Linked DNA regions of Coturnix japonica. Each later gene encodes a partner of the first gene's protein in a complex. Links are inferred from orthologs where the notes say so. Each region holds a gene or a part of one and is shown on either strand. Other genes may lie near its edges.

What was found.
Region 2: NUP43 (region 1) and SEH1L share a complex: the UniProt entries of both Homo sapiens proteins name them as parts of the nup107-160 subcomplex of the nuclear pore complex. The link is inferred for Coturnix japonica from reciprocal best matches to the Homo sapiens genes NUP43 and SEH1L.
Region 3: NUP43 (region 1) and NUP37 share a complex: the UniProt entries of both Homo sapiens proteins name them as parts of the nup107-160 subcomplex of the nuclear pore complex. The link is inferred for Coturnix japonica from reciprocal best matches to the Homo sapiens genes NUP43 and NUP37.

The regions. Positions count from the first base shown.
Region 1 is NC_029518.1:43,395,609-43,399,959, reverse strand, and holds the start of NUP43 (nucleoporin Nup43), read left to right. Parts: upstream 1-1,525; 5' UTR 1,526-1,571; coding exon 1,572-1,691; intron 1,692-1,809; coding exon 1,810-1,932; intron 1,933-2,193; coding exon 2,194-2,271; intron 2,272-3,029; coding exon 3,030-3,207; intron 3,208-4,351. UniProt on the Homo sapiens protein: Component of the Nup107-160 subcomplex of the nuclear pore complex (NPC). The Nup107-160 subcomplex is required for the assembly of a functional NPC.
Region 2 is NC_029517.1:87,390,148-87,393,706, reverse strand, and holds part of SEH1L (nucleoporin SEH1), read left to right. Parts: intron 1-654; coding exon 655-753; intron 754-1,389; coding exon 1,390-1,530; intron 1,531-1,745; coding exon 1,746-1,903; intron 1,904-2,577; coding exon 2,578-2,728; intron 2,729-3,559. UniProt on the Homo sapiens protein: Component of the Nup107-160 subcomplex of the nuclear pore complex (NPC). The Nup107-160 subcomplex is required for the assembly of a functional NPC.
Region 3 is NC_029516.1:56,800,327-56,804,600, reverse strand, and holds the start of NUP37 (nucleoporin Nup37), read left to right. Parts: upstream 1-1,424; 5' UTR 1,425-1,535; intron 1,536-3,245; 5' UTR 3,246-3,309; coding exon 3,310-3,465; intron 3,466-3,967; coding exon 3,968-4,092; intron 4,093-4,274. Other genes in the region: PARPBP (PCNA-interacting partner), read right to left, coding at 106-255. UniProt on the Homo sapiens protein: Component of the Nup107-160 subcomplex of the nuclear pore complex (NPC). The Nup107-160 subcomplex is required for the assembly of a functional NPC.

The DNA.
Region 1 (4,351 bases):
CCTATAACTCTCTCTATAACTTCCTGAAGGGGGGTTGTAGTGAGCTGGGGGTTGGCCTCTTCTCTCGTGTAATCAGTGATAGAACTAGAGGGAATGGTTTTAAGCTGCGGCAGGGGAGATTCAGGCTGGACATGAGGAAGTATTACTTCTCATAAAGGGTAGTCAGGCATTGGAATGCACTGCCCAGGGAGGTGGTGGAGTCACCGACCATGGGAGTGTTCAAGAAACGTCTGGATGTTGTGTTGAGGGATATGATTTAGCTGGGAAGTATTGGTGATAGTTGGACTGGATGATCTTCTAGATCTTTTCCAACCTTGATAATTCTGTGATTCTGTGAACCCATACAAACTCATTTCTGCCTCTGCTGCATGTTTGGGCCCAGCGCCCAGAACCAGCATTGTCTGCTCTTAAAGTCCTTATTGACAACCTGAGTAATGCTTGATGAGGCATTTTGTCTTGTGGTCTTTGTTTCTCTCTTTCACTTGTTTAATTGAATTTGATCTTATACTGAAATAACGTGCTAACACAGTACCCATCTTTTATAATGATCAAATGTGGAGATTAAAGGCCTACAAAGCAGCCCTAAATCCAACACAGAACGTGCTGCCAAAAGAAACTTAAAAAAAAACAAGACAGGGAAGAAAAATTGCTTCTTTTTCCCATCCCAGTGTAAACAGTCTGTGCCCCTCCTACTCGATTTAGTGCTTCCCAAATCACAGAATCACAGAATGACCTGGGTTGGAAGGGACCTCAAGGATCATGTAGTTCCAACCCCCTGCCTGGCTAGCCGGCCGCAAAACAGAACATGACACGACTTTTACTAGATCAGGGTTGCCCCAGTGCCCCGTCCAAACCTTGCGGTCTCTGAATCACCTCCCAAGGGACGGGGCATCCCACAACCTCCCTGGGCAGCCTGTTCCAGGGCCTAACCACTCTCCTAGTGAAGAACTTCCCCCTAACATCCAACCTAAATCTTCCCTCTTTCAACTTAAAACCATTTCCCCGTGTCCTGCTATTGTCAGCCCTTTCGAAGAGTTTACTCCCCTCCTGGGAGTAAGTTCCCTTCAAATGCTTTCCATCAAGCGCTCCTGAGCAAAGAGAAGAACCAGTGGCAGTGCGAGCTGTGAGAAAACACAGCAAGAAGTGGGAAGGTGCCTGTGGGAATGGCCTATGGGCCCGGCCGTGTCATCGCGGAGCTCGCTTTACAGCTGACCCCTGAACTTTGTGCACAGCAGTTGTTCATGGCTCTGGTGATGAGTCGCTGGAAGGGGCCCAAAGGGATCGTAGAGCCCAGCGCCTGGCGCTGCGCAGCACCACCCGGATTCACGCCCTAGCTCGGTCTGAGCGTGTCATGCAGACGCTCCTTGAGCTCCGGCTGCCTCGGGGCTGTCAGTGCTGCCCTGGGGATCCTGCTTGTGATACACAAACGTTCGGCCGCGTACTATTTGGAGGTGAAAAAGAACGCCCGCCCGCCCGCGCTCTCCGCCGCTCCCGGCGCTGTCCCTCGGCGCTCGCCGTCGGGCCGCAGCCAATCAGGCGGCTCGTGGCAGCGGCGGGAGCCGTGCGGCGCCATGGAGGAGGTGTGCGCGCGGTTCGTGTCGCAGAAGATCAGCAAGGCCCGATGGCGGCCCCTGCCCGCCGCCGCGCTGCAGCCCCCGGAGCTCTTCGCCACCGGCTCCTGGGACAACGAGGTAACGCGGCACGGCCTTACCGGGCGGGTCGCTGCCTCCCCCGCCTCGGGCCCCGCAGGCGCCGGGGAGTCCTTGTCCGCAGCCCACAGGTAAAAGCGGCCGTGTCGTTTCCCTGCAGGACAACCGCATCTCCGTGTGGTCTGTGGGAGATGCGGGAAGCGCGGACCTCAATGGGGAATATCAAGGAGAGCCTCAGCTGCTGTGTGACATCCGGCACAACGGAGACGTGATGGACATGCAGGTGAGGGAGCTGCTCGTCATCTGAGGCAAACGGGGTGACAAGGAGCTGACTTGGGGGTTGGAACTACATGAGCCTTGAGGTCCCTTCCAACCCGGGTCATTCTGTGGCTTTTAACAAAGAAAGTTATGAAGAGTGGCAAATTAAATGAGTATCAGTTTGTGGGTGTTTTACTGCACCTACCCACACATCTGAATACTCTGAATTGAAAATCACCATCCTGGTGTTGATATCAACTCATAACGTGCTTGTTAATCTCTTTAGTTTTTGGATCAAGAGAGAATTGTTGTTGCCTCATCAACAGGAAGCGTGACTGTGTTCCGGCATCATCAGAACAACCAGGTAGGCACCTGCAGCTGCAGTGCGGGTCCCTTGGATCTCAGCGTGAGATTTCTCAAATTAAAAGCAGGAGGCATCCAGAGTCAGCAATAAATTCTTCAAAGCATTTTAGAAGTAGATTTGGTTTTGTACCTGCACAGGGAGAAAAACATCTTCGACACACACAGCATAAATCAGATTCCAGAGCCAGACAGATTGGGTTCTGTTAATATGTTGTAAGCAATAGACCACTCACTAAAAATGTACTTGAGTTTTTATGCGGTTATATATATGAGAATAAATAATTTCAGGGAGTGGGAATGAGTGAACTTGTACTTTTATTTATTTGCATGGCACAACAAAGACTAACATCTGTTAATAGTTTCATGTGGTACTTAGGATAAACCGAGTTTCCTTCAATCAGAATCTAAATCTGATCTTACACTTTGTAAAGGCTCAAGTTCTATTTCTTTGTCCTAGGAAAAGATTGGAGGCTAAGTCTAGTGAGAGATACTTCATATTCAGACATAGATCCTATTAATTCCAAGTTCTCTCTCTTGTGTGAAAGAGATGGTTCAGAGCAGACAGTGCCTCACTGAAGGGAGACCAAGGAAGTTCAGATTTCTGGTTCTTATTTATGTAGAAGATTCCTATTGCAGTGAGGTACTATGGCTTTCCTGGAGCTTCTTTCCAGTTGTATGAGTATTTGTGAGTATTCCGAAAGCTTTACTCAATCGGGATCGTTATTTACCAGCAGAATCTCATGTCTGGTTGCTACTTAGACTCTATCTGCCAGTCACCGGTGGGAGAACGCCCATTATCACGCGGATCAATACACAGCTTGTGGTGGAGCAGCGTGTACCGGAGTCATCTGCAACAACCCAGAAATTGTCACTGTCGGAGAAGATGGTAGAATTAATCTCTTCAGAGCTGACCAAAAGGATGCAGTGAGGACTATAGGTATGTCAAGTCAATGCTCAGCATGTTTTGGTTTGGAACATCTCGGTTGGTGTATAGAATAGAATATTTATTTTAGCCAAAATATTGTGTGACAGAAAGGAAAGCAATTGAGAACTGAATTCAATATCCCAAGGTGAATGTATTTCCTCCAGGTCATTCCTACATTCCTCCAGACTTACAAGTATTTGAAGTATGTTTCAGATATGTTTCTATATGCATTCAGTTTGTAAGTTATGTTTTAACTGGTGGAGATGTTTTAAGATTTAACATTCCCAGAATGCTTCTGTTTGATCTGGAGTCATTAAATGCTCTGATAGAATGCACGAGATAGTTCTATTTCCAGAAGCATCGTGTCATCAATTGTTTATAAGCAGGGGTCGGTAACTACTGTCATTTCAATTCATTATTTATAGTAAGCTTAAGCCTTGTGTTATCCATACTCAAAACCATCAATTTGTGTGGAAAAGAATTTGTGTGTTCTAAAGGAGCACAAGGAGCCAGAAGTTACTATTTGTCCCCTGTTGTACCAGGTGCCATGGCTCACAGCCGTCATCTCTCACTTAGTGAAATGGGTTCATGTTTCTTGAGATAGAATTATCTAATAGAGTAACAAGTGCTTGTGGAAGGTGTCAAAGCTTATTCTCAGCATTTCCATCTTGCTGCCTTCATGGAGTAGCATGTGGAAAACAAAAGCAGAAATGATATGAAGCGCAGTAACAGCATTATTGATAATGGAACTTTCTCCCTGAAACCTCAGTTTGACACGTTGCCTGTGTTTCTCCTCAAGTGAAATCTTGCTTCAGATTGAACAGATGAAGGAACTTAGACAGTGATAAGCCAATTAAGGAATGAAGCTCCCTGGGATTTCTGGAGGGGGGTATTTGTGTGTGCAGGGCTGTATACATGCACACACAAAGCAAATCCTATTAATTGCATACAGTTCTTTACTGAAGCTCTCTGAGAACTGCAGGAAGTCATTTTAAAACATAGGAAGAAACACAGAAGTTGCACAAGGCAGAGTTTTATCAGTAACACGCAAAAAAAACCCAAAACCCTGTAACTCTTCAACTCTTCAGCACTGAGGGGAAAAAAGTAATTAGTTAAAAAGGTTTATTTTAATTTCAAGTTTTCATTTATAAATGGA
Region 2 (3,559 bases), on another chromosome or scaffold:
AGGTAACAAGGATGTGCACCCTTAGCAGTGCTAGGAACCACAGGTTTTACTAACACAAAGCCTAAGGGTTGTATTATTCCTTTAGTTGTATCTTCAGGGGCTCAGTCATGATTTAACCTACTTGGTCAGAAAGAGACCAGAGGAATGTGATGGTTGGGTTGTCCCCACCCTGAAGAATACATAAGTCATCTGTCCTAAAGGTTAAGAGTATAGGCTTTATCTCTACATCACCCTCAGAAGCTGTGCTAAAAGTTGATTTAAAAACTAGTGCTCGTATACCTTTTGTAACTGGTTTTCCAGAATCTGAATGAAACCCCCCTAAATCAGTCACTGCGAGTACTGCATTGGATGCGGATTCTGCCATATTCCTTAGAGCAAACTTCACTGCAAACACATCTATGAATTTAATCTCGATGTCTGGGGGCATCTGTTGTCCTGAACTAAATTCCAAATAGTGTCCCTTAATGGTTTATCTTTATTTGTTGTATAAGGTAGACATTCAAGAGAACAGAGTTGAGGTAGTACTGGTAACTATGAATGATACTTTGTATTTCTTTCTAGGCAATCTTTTTGTTTTATATACAGGTGTGTCTTAAATTTTGGAAGTTACTTGTGAAATAATTAGTAACAGAATTTGTATCTTTTTACTTCCAGCTCCAGAGCACATTCTCCAATGATAGCTGTCGGAAGTGACGACAACAGTCCAAATATATTGGCTAAAGTTCAGATTTATGAATACAATGAAAATACCAGGTATGCTAAATAACAGTGTATTTATGGGATCTTAGAATAGCTTGTAATGTCCAGCCTTCTGTTTCGTTCCTGTTGTTCCTTATGGAGTGAAGGGGGAAATAATAATACTCCTCAATTTTGTCTGTAAGGCTTTGGACAGGAGAGGCACCTCAGAATGCTAACAGATTTCGAAGGAAATGGCAGATTTTGATAATTTTATTCTGTCAGCACAGAAACTCTAGTGTTCCTACTGGAACTTTAAAGGGAAAGTGGCTTTTATTCTTCTGCTAAGTTTTTGTGCAGAATTTTGCACAAGGAATTCCTTCCGGTCACACAGCTGAATTGCCTTCACCTGTGCTCCCAGGGCTGACCAAGTCCTTTCCCCACGTGATCATCCAGTGGCTCAGGCCATGACTCAACAGTTCCCATACATTCATTGTTATGACATTAGTAGTTAACGTATCTGATGAATTCACTTTCTGAAGAAATCAGCTTGTAGTTATTAGCTAGAATGTAATTTATGTTAAAATAATTACAGCTGTGCATCGTTATGTATCCTAACCAACCACCTTTTCCCTGCTCTGTTATGTCTACTTTACATGATTAGTGAGCCTGGCAGTTTTAATGGCACTAATGGTAATTTTTCATGCCCAACAGGAAATATGCGAAAGCAGAAGCTTTGATGACAGTCACAGATCCTGTGCACGATATTGCGTTTGCCCCAAATCTGGGAAGGTCCTTTCACATCTTAGCTGTGGCAACCAAAGATGTACGGATTTTCACACTAAAACCTCTAAGGTGAGCTTAAAAGGACAACTGGAGCATGGTTCAGTATGATACGGTGCATCCTGTAGAGTCTTTCTTAGTAGTACCTGAGATGCAAAGGATATCTCTTAGTACTCCTAATGTATTATACAGCTGCTAAGTACATTTCTTGAAGGATCTAGTCCTCTTTTTGTCGTCGTATTCAAGCCAGAAGTTGTGTGCAAAACTGTCCCTCCTCTCTTTAACAGGAAAGAGCTGACTTCATCTGGAGGATTAACAAAGTTTGAAATTCACATCGTGGCACAGTTTGACAATCACAACTCCCAGGTGTGGCGAGTCAGCTGGAACATCACGGGCACGGTGCTGGCCTCCTCTGGTGATGACGGCTGCGTTAGGCTTTGGAAGGGTAAGAACTCTACAGGTCTTCTGCTTCAAGTTCATCAGCTTTGTGCTATGCTGAATGTATTCAAGGAAGTTTTTTTGGTGTAAAAGGTTGTTAGATCAGTGAATGATATGTTTTTACACTGATGTTCCGGACAAAAAAGCAAATACAGTGCTGGAACATGGGCATGATTTAAGTTTCTGTGAATAGCTGTTACTGTGCTATATCTGGTAACCTTGAATTGTTTTAGCAGATCACAGCTATGTAAAATTGTCACTATTTGGAACTAATTTGTATTGAGTTGTTGTCTTTGCCTGCTGCCAAACCCTGTGAAACTGTGTTCTGTTAAAACAGTATTCAGGCAATCTGGCTTCTTCTTTTATTCCCTTTGAGCTTTTTTATATTTCTGTTCCAATTTCAAGCAGTGACAACAAAACTCAGGCAGTTTCCTCATCTGTTCTCAGTAGTTTCTCAGTTGGCCTATTATTAAGGATAAAGCAAACTCATTCTTACCACTGAACAAAATGTAGGTTTAAATAATGGATAAGCAGAGGATGCCAAGCAGCTAAAGGACCAGCTACTCAGAATATATATGTTGGTGCTGAAGTAGATTTCTAATTCACACCAGATACCCTGCAGTTGAAATACCATAACTTTCAGAGTCCAAACTAACAGTTTCTGTCTGTGTACATTTGCAGCTAATTACATGGACAACTGGAAGTGTACTGGTATACTGAAAGGTAACGGGAGTCCAGTCAACGGTGGTTCCCAGCAGGGGATTTTTAACGCCTCTCTTGGTTCAGCCAATACAAGCCTACAGAATTCACTAAATGGATCATCTGCCAGCAGGTAGGCTAACTGCTAGAGGGACTGGATCTCAGCAAATGCTTTCTTCTCTGAATCTTCTTAATTTCACTTAGTTTTCATGTCTTGTATTCTTTTAAAGTGTGGTGTCACTTATTGCACGAATACTACTGCAAGCTATTCTGGCCTTGCTTTGTGTCAGTGTCTGCTATGCTAGTAGTGAGAGGAATTACCTTGTATAAACAAGCAGTGGAAGCAATGGTTTTTACTTGCAGTCTTTTTGCATTCTTAAAAACTTTCCTGAAGTAGTTCTGAATCAGGAGAAATTGATCATACTGCTTTGTAACTGCCATTTAGATGCACGTATCGAAGTTAAGCGAAAATACCAGCAATAAAATCTGTTTTTGACTGGGATAGTGTAGCAGAATGGAAGAAGGAAAAGAAAGACACTTTGTAGCATAGGTCTGCAACAAGCATAGGCTGGAGTTTGTTTATTTTACTTGCATTTTTGCAGGTGTAACATCATTTGAGTAAAAATTTGGTTTTTTTTTAATCTTCCTTATACAAGTGGAATTGTTACTGCTTTCTATGTTTTTATTCTTTAACTGCTACTGAATAGGTGAATTAAACTGCCTTAACCAAAACCAGCTTTTAGTTTGTGTACACTCAGCTCTAGAAATTTCTGGGTCCTGCATTTGTAAGGGGAAGTGAGTACAGAGCTTTACAGGATGTGTGCCATAGAAGGGCTTGGTGTGACCAAATCCCACAGCAGAATCTTCCAGGTTCTTTGCCCTCCTCTGTTAGTTTTTCCCCAGATGCCTTCATTTCCATCCATATACAGCTACCAATGGAAATCTTTTTCTTTTAATTTAAAAT
Region 3 (4,274 bases), on another chromosome or scaffold:
TGAAATGAGCAAAGCAATTGTTTTACATAGATAAACCAAAAGTTTAGCAAGCACACCAAGTTTAAGATACACCAAGTTCCAAGAACATATAGAAAGAATGCTAACCTGTTTATTGACTTCAGCCATGGACAGTTGTAATGCTGTCAGCATGCAATCTGCTCCACACACAGTAGTTCTTTCTGAGTTTGAAAATAAGGGCCATTGTCTTCTGAAATATTTGATTAAGTTTAAAATCTTTTGCTGGAAAGAAATCATTGCCTAAAGTAGAACACAGAATTAAGAGAAATGATTGTAAACACACAAACATGAGAGGCCTGTGCATGTCTTCACCTTAAGTGTGTATGCTATTGCTTCTTCTTCCATATTAAGTCCACAAAACGCACTTATCCCACAAACCCATTGTCAAGCAAGACTTACCTCACTAATGATAGAAAAACTACACGAGAAGGGATAGAAAGCGCTCATGAATGACATATTTATAAAGACATGTCCTCCTTGCATATTTACTAGCTTGAAAGAGTATCAGGGCTGGAGCACCTCTCCTGTGAGGAGAGGTTGAGGGAACTGGGCTTGTTTAGCTTAGAGAAGGCTCCTGGGAAACCTCGAAGGAAGCATATGAACAGGAGGGGGTACAACTGTTTAAGAGGGTTGATAATGATAGGACAAGGGGGAATGGTTTTAAACTGAGACAGGGAGGTTTAGGTTAGATATTAGGAGGAAGTTTTTCACTCAGAGGGTGGTGAAGCTCTGGAACAGGTTGCCCAAGGAGGCTGTGGATGCCCCATCCCTGCAGACATTCAAGGCCAGGCTGGATGTGGCTCTGGGCAGCCTGGTCTGGTTTGAAACTAGGTGATCATTGTGGTCCTTGTCAGCCCAGGCCATTCTATGATTCTATGATAATAACAGTAATTTGACAGGACAGTCTTTTGTCTCTACCGAGACAGCCTGAATGCCACCAGAGAGCACCTTTCATATTCACCACATCACATTCAGACCAACATCTACTAGAATGGTTCCCTAAACAAGAGATCTGCTATTGTTTCCACAACTTACTAACGAAGGCACTTTTGAGTATTTTTGTCACCTACATACAAAGCCTTTTTAGCATTTCTTCCCTTAAGTCACCATATTTGCCATTCCCTTTGGCAGCAAGTCTCCGTTATCTATTTCAGTTGCCAGGCTGCCCAGAGCCCCCATCCAACCCAGCCTTAAGCACCTCAAGGGCTTCCCTAAAGTCGCTCCCCTTTTAAGCACGTTAAGCCGTTTACTCTGCACCCAAGCCCCTCTCAGCCGGCTGAGGCGCTCTCGCTCGCCTATAGCCACTACCTGCACAACCAGGAGACCGAGACCAAGCACTCCACCATCCGCTCGGAAGGCCCAGCAACCTCTATCCTCTATCGGCGGTTTTCATTTAAAACTTCGGCAGATGCCCAATAGGCAGCTCGAGCCCCGACCCGGAAGCACACGGCGATACACGGGCGGGAGGTGCCGGCTGGCGGGGACTAGCGTGTGTATGGCCGGCTGGGGCTGTGGAGGTCTGTGTGGGGCGGCTCGGGTTGGGGGGGGTTGTTTCGGGTTGAGGGGAGGGAGTGCAATGCTTCGGTCGGATGGGTCCCGAGGGGCGAGCGGGTCGTGGAGAGGCGATTGGGCCGCCTTCTATGAGGCCCTGTAGCGTTGTGAGGCTGTGCTTTCTCAGTAAGCATTGCAGAGCCCTGAATGGAGATGTCTGTGTGTGTCTGTGTGAGGGGTTGGCGCAGTTGTCCGTGTGGTGATTCTGTAAAGAATGAATATCAGGGTTTGTTGGTTGTTTTTTTTTTTAGTTAAAGTTAGTCTAGAGTTGCTTTTCTCAGGCTGAGGGAGCTGGGAGCTGTGCAGCCTGGAGAATACAAGGCTCTGGGGAGAGCTGGCAGCAGTCTCTCTGTATCTGGAGGGGGCTGTAGGAAAAGGGGACAGACTCTTTAGTGGGGTCTGTTGTGACAGAACAGGGTGAAATGGTTTCAGGCTGAAAAAGAGGAGACCTAGGTGGGATCTAAGGGAAGAAGTCTTTTATAGTAAGTGCGGTGAGGCACAGTTTGCCCAGAGAGGTGGTGGATGCCCCATCCCTGGAGACACTCAAGGTCAGGCTGAGCACCTGATGTAGCTGTGGGTGTCCCTGCTCATTGCAGGGATGTTCAACTAGATGGACTTAAAAGTTCCTTCCACCTCAAACCATTCTATGATTCAATGTTGGGAAGGCTTTAAGGAAAACGGTTACAGATTAGGTTACAAATTGTGTTTGGCTTTAGGAGCATGTCTCTGCAAGTTATGTGCCTGAAGTATATATATCAGTGGGATAGTGTATCTTGCTAATCAAAGAACAAATATTGCAGATGTAAGGTGCATTTGTATATCTGCGATGTCCACAACAACCTGTGGTAGCACTCAAGCAAAATGTTGTGACTTGGATTCTGAGACCATCAGGTCATTAACAGCAAAATACACTGAGAAATTTAAAGCTATTTTTCAATGTTGCAAAAAGAAAAAAAAATTCCAAAAGGAATAAACTAATATAAAATCTGCACTGGGATTAAGGGGGAAGGTTCCATAATCAATTGTGTATCTAAGCTGCTTTGGTGCCAGCACAGGAGCCTGATTGTCTTGAAAAGTGCTTGAATACAGTACAGTGCTCATTCTGAGGTATACTTCAGCCCCAGATGAAAGCTAACTACTTTCGTTGAAATACAGAGGCATAGGGGCTATGCTCTGTGTGCAGATGGGTTGACTTCAGTCATGAAGCCATGGTTAAGTATTCTGCAGGACAGTGTTCTCATCTGCTGTCTTTTCAGTCTTGATTCTGCTTTTAAATAGATAAATAGATGTCCTTTAAAAGCAGTACAATGGGGTAAAGAACTTGGAGGTAACAATACATTGTTTTTTGACATTTGGTTGAAAACTGAAGCATTCTGAATGTGACTTTTCTGTTGTGTGTAGTTAATCCTGGTGTTATGTTGCCAGCAGTAACACAAAATCTGTAGCTATCAATTAAGTCTCTAGAAGTGGTTTTGAATGTATGCTAGTTATTGAGGTTAATTAGTTTTGTTAATTCCTTGATAGTTGGAATTATGTGCTAAATCTATAGATATTGAGCTTAATTTCACCTTGTGTCCATTAATGCAGCGTCATAGGAAATTTTGATTTGTTGTGCCACAAATGCCTTTTTTCTTATGTGAATGTGTAATGCACTTTCTTTAATACTTTCTGTATAGGAATGTCAACCTTCATCCTGTAAAAGACATCGCTTCTGTGATACCTTGATACAGTTCCCTGAAAATGAAGCAAGATTCTCTTAGAAACGCCACTTACACTGTGGACTGTGAAGATTATGTGCATGTGATAACATTCAATCCTTTTGATAGTGGAGACGCATGCTCCCTCATTGCATATGGTGGCAACAATTACGTGGTTGTTGGAACATGCAGATTTCAGGTTGGTTTGTGTTAGTTTGTTGGTTTTATTCATTTCTTCCCAGAACTCAGCAAGCATCTCTGCTGGTAAAGTCCTAAGCTGACTAAAACTGCTTTCCTGTCTTCTCTTTTTTACCAGGAAGCGTTTACTAGATTAATCAATTACTATGTTAATGAATTGGGATATTTCCTAAGAAATACAAATTAGAATAAAATACTGTCCTGCTGATATGCCTCCAAGTTGACTTCAATGAAAGCAGCACTGCTTTTCTGGAGGATAACCTAATTTTAGCAGTCACCAACATTTGCAGTGGTACTATCTGGAAACTTCTTATTTGTAGCACAAATATCTGATTTTTGTGCCCAGTATTTGACTCTGACTTGAGACTCTCGTGCACTTCTAGTCAACTTTTTATTGCAGCAGGTACATCAAACTTGGAAAGCCTTTCTGTTTCATATCAATCCAAATTGTTAGAAGTCATAAAGATGTTATTCTGGATTAGTTAATTGTCATATCTCTATAGGAAGAGGATGCAGAAGTGGAAGGCATTCAGTATAAGACTCTAAGAACATTTCATCATGGAATCCGAGTTGATGCCATAGCATGGAGCCCAGAAACTAGACTTGATGCTTTACCTCCGCAGATAAGGTATATAGAATAATTGAGTACAAGAAATCTTTGTCACTTATCTGTTTTCCCTAAGTCCTTAATACTGAACTAAGTTAAAAGTGTATGAGTGAAATCTAACTCTGAAGCAACTGCTAGTAAAGTCTTAAATATGAGCTTAACAAGAACTCAGAAGTTATCAGAGGCTTATAAGTCTCTTTGAA